2 linked regions of the Rattus norvegicus genome follow. The protein of the gene in region 2 binds, or shares a complex with, the protein of the main gene of each other region. Links are inferred from orthologs where the notes say so. Each region holds a gene or a part of one and is shown on either strand. Other genes may lie near its edges.

The links. Proteins that work in one complex are often made in the same cells at the same time.
Region 1: the proteins of Bcar1 (region 2) and Sh2d3c are in contact, whole or in part, in a crystal structure (PDB 3T6G), measured with the Homo sapiens proteins. The link is inferred for Rattus norvegicus from reciprocal best matches to the Homo sapiens genes BCAR1 and SH2D3C. Residues at the interface, in NP_055382.2 of Homo sapiens: Ser739, Gln742, Phe746, Tyr747, Gln750, Asn754, Val779, Ser782, Lys783, Ile786, Leu787, His790, Val793, Phe794, Ile795, Asp797, Thr798, Arg801, Gln802, Ser816, Asn817, Cys820, Leu823, Arg824, Val827, Lys831; in NP_733745.1 of Homo sapiens: Thr543, Val544, Pro545, Val547, Gly616, Val617, Arg618, Glu622, Thr625, Leu626, Pro627, His628, Leu749, Leu752, Leu753, His771, Gly772, Val773, Glu774, Val776, Leu777, Leu780, Glu781, Ala783, Arg784, Ala787, His788.

Annotation. Positions count from the first base shown.
Region 1 is NC_086021.1:36,435,725-36,439,370, reverse strand, and holds part of Sh2d3c (SH2 domain-containing protein 3C), read right to left. Parts: intron 3,601-3,646; coding exon 3,476-3,600; intron 1,175-3,475; coding exon 645-1,174; intron 1-644. UniProt on the Homo sapiens protein: Acts as an adapter protein that mediates cell signaling pathways involved in cellular functions such as cell adhesion and migration, tissue organization, and the regulation of the immune response.
Region 2 is NC_086037.1:56,620,625-56,624,370, forward strand, and holds the start of Bcar1 (breast cancer anti-estrogen resistance protein 1), read right to left. Parts: upstream 2,567-3,746; 5' UTR 2,447-2,566; coding exon 2,435-2,446; intron 1-2,434. UniProt on the Homo sapiens protein: Docking protein which plays a central coordinating role for tyrosine kinase-based signaling related to cell adhesion. Implicated in induction of cell migration and cell branching. Involved in the BCAR3-mediated inhibition of TGFB signaling.

The DNA.
Region 1 (3,646 bases), on a different chromosome or scaffold from region 2:
AAGGACTGAGGTTTGATTCTCAGCAACTACATGGTGGTCCACAACTGCCTATAACTCTAGTCCTGGCATACGTGCTGGCGAAACACCAGTGCACATCAAAAATGAAATGAGAAGGAGGAGGAGACTGGCAAGGGGTGGTGGCTCATGCCTTCAATCCCAGCACTTGGGAGGCAGAGACAGGAAGCTCTCTATGAGTTCAAGGCCAGCCTGGTCTACATAGCAGCCAGCCTCATCTACACAGCTAGTTCCAGCCCAGCCAAGGCTACATAGTGAGACCCTAACAAAACAATCTAAAATAAGAAAATGGAGGGCTGGAAGGATGGCTCAGTGGTTAAGAACACTGACTGCTCTTCCAGAGGTCCTGGGTTCAATTCCCAGCAAACACATGGTGGCTCAGAACCATCTGTAATGGGATCTGATACCCTCTTCTGGTGTGTCTGTCTGAAGACAGCGACAGTGCACTCACATACATAAAATAAATAAATCTGAAAAAGGGGCCTGAGACACCTGGGATGTCAAAACTCAGGCTGCTGGCGTCATTGTACTTGGGGAATTTTGAAATCAGCCCGTCACCATCTTGACTCCTGACCTCAAAGCCAGATGTTAAAGGTATTGTCCCCTCCCTAAGCATTCCTAACACGTACCAGGCAGTCAACCTTGGTGACATGCCGGGCCAGCGTCCGGGCATCCACCTCCGACAGCAGCTCCTTGACTTTGCGCAGCAGGCCCACCTCCAGAGGCCGGTTCTCCTTGGGGATCAGCTGGGACTGGAAGGTAGCCAGGTTGAAAGATGAGGTGGCTTCTGCTACAGGGGCTGTGAAGGTCTTGCCCCACTCCCCCTCAGGGACTCCATTTTCTGACAGTTCCTTTTGCCTCTCTGCAGAGCTCCGAGCCTTCCGGGGGGTCTCTCCTGCTGTCGGCTCTCGGCTACAGCGCACAGGAGGCTGGAGCTGACAATAGTGGCCAGAGTCTGGGTCACTGTAGCTGCTGAGTGACGGTGATGGCGAGGCCTTGCAGAGGGTGTGGGACGGGCTTGCGTGAGGGCCCCTGTCTGACTCCCCAGGAGGCTTTGGAGCACCTCCAGGACATAGCTGAGGTTCACTGGAGCGGCGGGCAACTGGGGAGGCGGGCTGTGCTGTACAGGGGGCAGCAGAAGCAGCATGGACGCGGGTTACTATGGAGGGGAGAGAGAGAGACGACTCGTTATCTCAACTACCCTTTAAAATGGAGCCTCCCAGGATGAAGAGATACCTCAGTGGTGAAGAGCACTGACTGCTCTTCCTGAGGTTCTGAGTTCAATTCCCAGCAACCGCTTGGTGGCTCATGACCATCAGTAATGAGATCTGGTGCCCTCTTTTGGCCCACAGGCATACATGCAGGCAGGATGCTATGTACATGATAAATAAGTAATTTTAAATGATTTTAAAAATCAATTGTCCCTGTTTCCTCAAAGAACAGTCTGCATCCGATGTACAGGGTGATGTCCCCACATCCCAGAATGTGGAGGGAGATGCTCTGTGGTACTCAGCATTTCCCTGGACCAGCAGAGCCCCTGCCCCAAGAGGCTACAACATAGGAAGCCACAGCAGCGGTCCAGGGAAGCTAAGCCCTGCTGAAGCCTATTGCGCCTGGTGAAGCTGTCACCAAGTGAATTAGCAGTAATGATACACTCGGTGGGTGGGGCGTGCCCAGAGCTGGTGACACGCTGGAGAGTTATTGTCAACAGCAAAGCCATCAATGAGAAGAGCCTGACATGGTGGCCCACGTCTGCAATCACAGCACAGGGAGTCTGAGGTAGAAGGATAGCCTTGAGGTGGAGACTAGTGAGAGCTACAAGCCAGCTTGAGGTACTTAGACCCTGTCTCCAAAGGCAGGAGGGGAGGGAAGTGCTAGATGGCTCACTGGATAAAGGCATTTGCCACCAAGTCTAACAACCTTGGTTAGATCCCTGGAACCCACACTGTGGAACTCGGGGAAGTTGTCATTTGACCCCTAGACTGGTGCGGTGATCCATTCCTGTCCCCCCAGACCCTACACACAAATAAGTAAAGGAATGTAAAAGATCTCAGAAGCCAAACAGCCAAGAGCGTGCAGTGGTGGATACCTGTAACCCTAGCGCTCAGGAGGCTGGGATGACCAGGTCTCTGTAGATTCGAGGCTAGCCTGATCTACATAACAAGTTCTGGGTCAGCCAGAGCTACATAGTGAGACCTTCTCTCGAAAGCAAACAAGCAATACCCCAAATGTCCCGTTCTATGGCAGTAAGGACTTTCATGTCCTCAGGCTTGAGCTGAGAAAATGACGGCTCAGAGCTTAGAAGACTTGCCCAGGTCACTCAACTTGGTAGGGCTGGGACTAAAGCTTTCATCTCCTAGCTCTGACAGACACCTCACTGCTGGAGACTGTCCCATTAAAAACTTAAAAAGCAGCCCATGAGCTGGGTGTGGTGGTGGACACGTTTAATTCCAGCCCTCAGAAGGCAGAGGCGGCTACTTAGTGAGTGCCAGGCCAGCCAAGGCTACATAGTGAGTCTCTGTCTCAAAAACACAATAGGTAATCAAAAGTCTTCACGTGGACATGCTGGTTTGAAAGCAAGTGAATGTGACAGCAAGGCTGGTCCTCAGGGAGGACTCCTGAGGACACACAGTAACACTCTAGAGGCACGGAATGCTCCCCGCAGGCCCAGACTTCCAGGAGACCACCTCTCTCAATGCTCCTACTGCCTTGTGGGGCAAGAAATGTTGCTTAACAGTTGGGGTTTGTTTTGCTTTGTTTTGAGAAATAAACTGGGGACATATTTTTACTTTATTTGTATTTATAAGCACAGGGCGCTGTGATTTCAATTTTGTTATAAACCTTAAACTGCTCTAAAAGGTAATTAAAAAAAAGATGGGCTGGAGAGATGGCTCAGCAGTTAAGAGCACTGACTGCTCTTCCAGAGGTCCTGAGTTCAATTCCCAGCAACCACATGGTGGCTCACAACCATCTGTAATGAGATCCGACGCCCTCTTCTGGTATGTCTGGAGACAGCTACAGTGTACTCATATATAAAATAAATCAATCAATCTTAAAAAAATAAAATAAAAAGAGCAGCAAAGCACATTAGCCTGAGCTAGCCTGGTCTAAGCTCACTAGGGATGCACTTGTTACCAGGGTCCTTGGTGAGGCAGCTGTAGTGGGAACTTTGTCTGCTGGGGCCAAGCACGGTGCACATCACAGCCTCAGGGCCTGATCCCATGACATGCTGCACCCCCAGCAGACTTATCCTGCCGTTCACACTGAGAACCCATTTTGTGTCCATTGCCTGGCACCTGTGGGAACGCTATCAACCTGACGCTGCTTGTGTGCCAACACCAGCGACTCCACCACAGGCTTTTCTAGTACATTTCTGAGGACACTGCTCCCAGCACAGAGGCAAGACAGACAGGTAAGGGTTCCCCACAAAGACATTACAGATTGTCCCCTGCTAGCTTACCGGTGCTATAGGCAGGGGAGCTGGGACTCTCGGAGATAGGAGACAGCGGAGAGTGTAGATCTGGGATCTGGTCCATGCTGAGGGCGCAGTTTCGGATGGAGTCTCGAGGATGGGGTAGTGAGGTGCTGTGGGCAGGGATTCCATGAGCCCAGAGGTCAGAGATCAGGGAAC
Region 2 (3,746 bases):
GGGCACGGTAGAGGCTAGATGGGCTACCCAGTTTCACAGGAGAGAAGCCATAGCAGAGCCATGCTGCAGTGGGGCTGCTCTGCACAGGCCTTGCCCTTCACCGTACCGTGGCAGGGCAGCCAACCTCTCGTTACTTGTGGACATGGGTCCGAGATGGCAGCAGTCATTTTCAAGTGCGAACTCCAAGTTAGGCCAACACTTGGAGGAGGCAGAAGCAGATGGCTTTCAGTATGAGTTCAAGGTAAGCCTGGTCTACAGAGTAAATTCCAGGGTATTCAGGGCTATACAATGAGATCTTATCTCAAACACCAAAACAAAACCCTGTCCAGGCCCTGCTTGGATACCCAGGAAATCACATCAACTCAACCTATTTCATCCCAAGTTCTCTCTGCAGTGGTCTCCCACTGCCGCCTGTTAGCATCTTGTAATTTCTGTGGGCCAAAGTGCTTGCGTCAGCTCTATACAGGGAAAGACTGCCCAAATGAATGGGTGTGCTTAAAACTCAAACGTGTCCCTAAGTACCACATGGCCAGTCACCATTCTGGGCTCCCTGGGCAGGCAGATCTTTCTAGAAGTCCACCCGGGCTCCCAGCATATGAAAGCTTCAGAAATGACCTCTCCATAGCCCCACCACCTTGCACACTACTTAGGGCCCAGGATAGAGGACAATGGCCTGACAGTCTAGTCTAGCTACACACTGTGCAGAATTACTGAGGGCTGTGGCTACAAGCGAACGGGAGAGAAGTGACTTGGAGTGGATCGTGGTAGGGACAGACCTTCACTTTAGTTCTTCACAGTGATTCTCACCTGTACAAACCCCTTATCCTCTCCAGTTATAGATGGTACCACCGTGGCACACAGCAGAGGGCGACTACCTGAAATCTCGTGAGATAAGGGTCTGCGTGCCGTCTAAGACACATGTCCCATACAGAGCTCTATACCTAGGCTAGACTACTAAACCAATCCTGGACCTCCCGACCAGAGGCCTGTCCAGAGGGGTACTCCATGGTCATTACAGCCTTGGGGACCCTGGCCCTCCAGCACACTCAGCAGGTCTGTCTTGTTTTCCTGGCCAATGTCCACAGAGGCGGAGTTGGTCGGTGCCCTATGCCCCAAGCTGGAGAAAACCCTGAGCTTTGCAGAACAGCAGAGCAGAACAGCAGAGAGGTTTGGCAGGCTTTCTCCGTCTCTTCCTAGAGATGAGACAATTATGCTTTGAACCAGAAGAGATGGGGGTGGGGGCTCCCATCAGCGCGGCCTGGAAGCCCTAATTTTTTCATCTGTAACTCAGTATTACCGCTTCTGGGGGCGGGCAGGAGCTGAGATCTTTAATTCTGTAATAACAATGCTTTGCCCTGACAGAACCCTCTCCTCTCCAGCAATCTCCATACTCTATGGTGCTTAATTAAGAAGCCACTTGCCCCGCCAACTAACGGCATCACGGAGAGAACCCAGTCTCCGGAGTCGATCCAGAGCAGAATAAGGGCAGGCTAGGCAAGGCTCTGGCCCATTGCCCCTTCCTGTCATTGGGGAAAAGGCCTGAGTCAGCAGAGAAATGGTGGCTGCAGGCCATGACTCCGGGGCAGACAGGATGAAGGTGTGGCCTCACACCTCTGTGTGTCCATCTGTAAAGTGGGTTGGAGCCTGTGCCTGAGTCCACCCCCCTGGTAGAATAATCACTGGCCACCTCAGGAGGAGACCCAAGGTCCTAGTGTTAAGGACTGGACCAAGGGCTTCTCGAGTGTGTCTGGTGGATTGGGAAGACAGAAGACGAGATGTCAAGCAAAGGGGGAAGCCCCTACAGAAAGCAGCTGCTAATCAAAAGGCCCTGTAGTTCAATGGGCCAACAAAACTTCCCACAAAGTGAATGTACAAACCAGAGGTAGGGGGAGGTACGCTATTTCCATTAGCCTGCCAAGCCAACCATTCTGGGGTAAGGGTGTCTCCGGGGACAGAACAGACCCCGCCCCACGCCTGGCCATCCGGGTAGGGACCAGAGAGCACAATAGGGCAGCCCTCCCAGGGAGTTTTCTGGGGGAACCGCACAGACCTTCCCACCACTCGGCCCAGCTGACCTGGCCATGGGTTTCTAAGAAGTGACAGAGCCCTCTTTTCGGTAGGCCTGACCACTCTGGTAGGAGGTCGGGGAAAGGCACGGACCCCGCCGAGCCCACCAGTCCCAGAGGCTCTCAGGAGCACCCCTAAAGCCCCCTGCCCAACCCAGCCGTGCCCCGGAGCTCCCGGTGGGGCCAGTGCGGCTCCCCGTCCTACTCGGCTGTCCTGGAGGAGGCTGGAAAAGCCGTGTCAGAGATGCCGGTTATGGGGCGGTGCCCCCACCCTGACCCCCACCTCGGCTTGAAAAGAACCTCCGGCGACCCCCGGTGGCCCAGGCCTACGGCGGGGGGGAGCAGGGTCTCAGGCGGTCAGCACTCACCGGCACGGTCATCTTGGCCACCGCTCCCGGGGCCCTGCGGCAGCGGCGCGGGCTAGCTCGGGCTCGGTGGGCCCGCGCCGCTCACAGCCCCCGGCGCGGGGTCCCGGCGCTCTCCGCTGCCCGCGGGTTGCTTTCAGCCACCGGACTGTCCGGCCGCTCCCCCCGCGCCGCGCATGCGCTGCCCGCGCCGCCCCTCCCCCTCCCGCCTGCTGCGCCGCCGGCCGCGTTAAAGGCGAGGACCCGGGACCCCGGCATTTTTCTGTCGGCACAACTGGGTGAGAAGGCTGAGTTCCCACACCTTGCCTGTCCTTCCAAAGGCCACCTCCAGACTCACTATTAGACAATCCCATCCGGTCCGCCCACCCGGTTCTGAGACTAGAACCCCCACCCCCACACATCACGTCCCTCAGTGCGGGTCCCAAGACGCCTACAATCCTAGTTTGGGAGCAGATTAGTCTGGCTGAAGGCGATCTTAGATCAGCCTAGGAAGCAGCCTGACTTAACATTGGATACCCCTGAAAGTAAAATCTACAGTGGCTTTTTTTTTTTAAAGGGTTTTTTTTTTTAATTTTCTAGAAGATTTATTCATTTATATACAAGTACACTGTAGCTGTCTTCAGACACACCAGAAGAGGGCATCAGATCCCACCACAGACGGCCGTGAGCCACCACGTGGCTGCCGGGACCTGAACTCAGGACCTCTGGAAGAGCGGTCAGTGCTCCCAACCAGTGAGCCATCCCTCCAGCCCTCTACAGTGGCTTTTAGGGAGGGTCCCACAATGGGCCCCCCTGCCCAAGGCTGGAAGACAGACAGGCCTTCGGGGACCTGAACCTTCCTTTCCTCCTTGTTAATCACCCCTAATTTCTTCAGCTGTTTCACACTTGGTACAATGCCCAAACATGCACCTGCAAGCACAAGGCACACGGGCTTCCGACTGCCACACCTTGCTGCTTTCACCTTCCCTCTCAGTACACTGAGGCTCGGAGCTCCACTGGCTACCAAAGGCATAAGGCCCCGCGGTCTGCTCTGCTTGCTGCCCAACACATTCAGCCTGTCACTGCTCCATGGGACCTCTTCCTGAGCAAGGCCAGACCCAGATAGTTAATGGCTGCCATGCCCTGAGTAGGAGAGTGCATTCTTACATCAAGTGGGAACTGGACTCTATGGCTTTGTCTACTGCTTCCTAAGGGAGCCCCATGAGAGGATCACAAGAGGACCACGAGAGGGCAAGAGCTTCAGCTAGCTAGCATATAGTACCTGGGGACAAAGCTGCTTCGGCGGCCGCTGCTGCTGCTTCCACCTCTTCCTCTT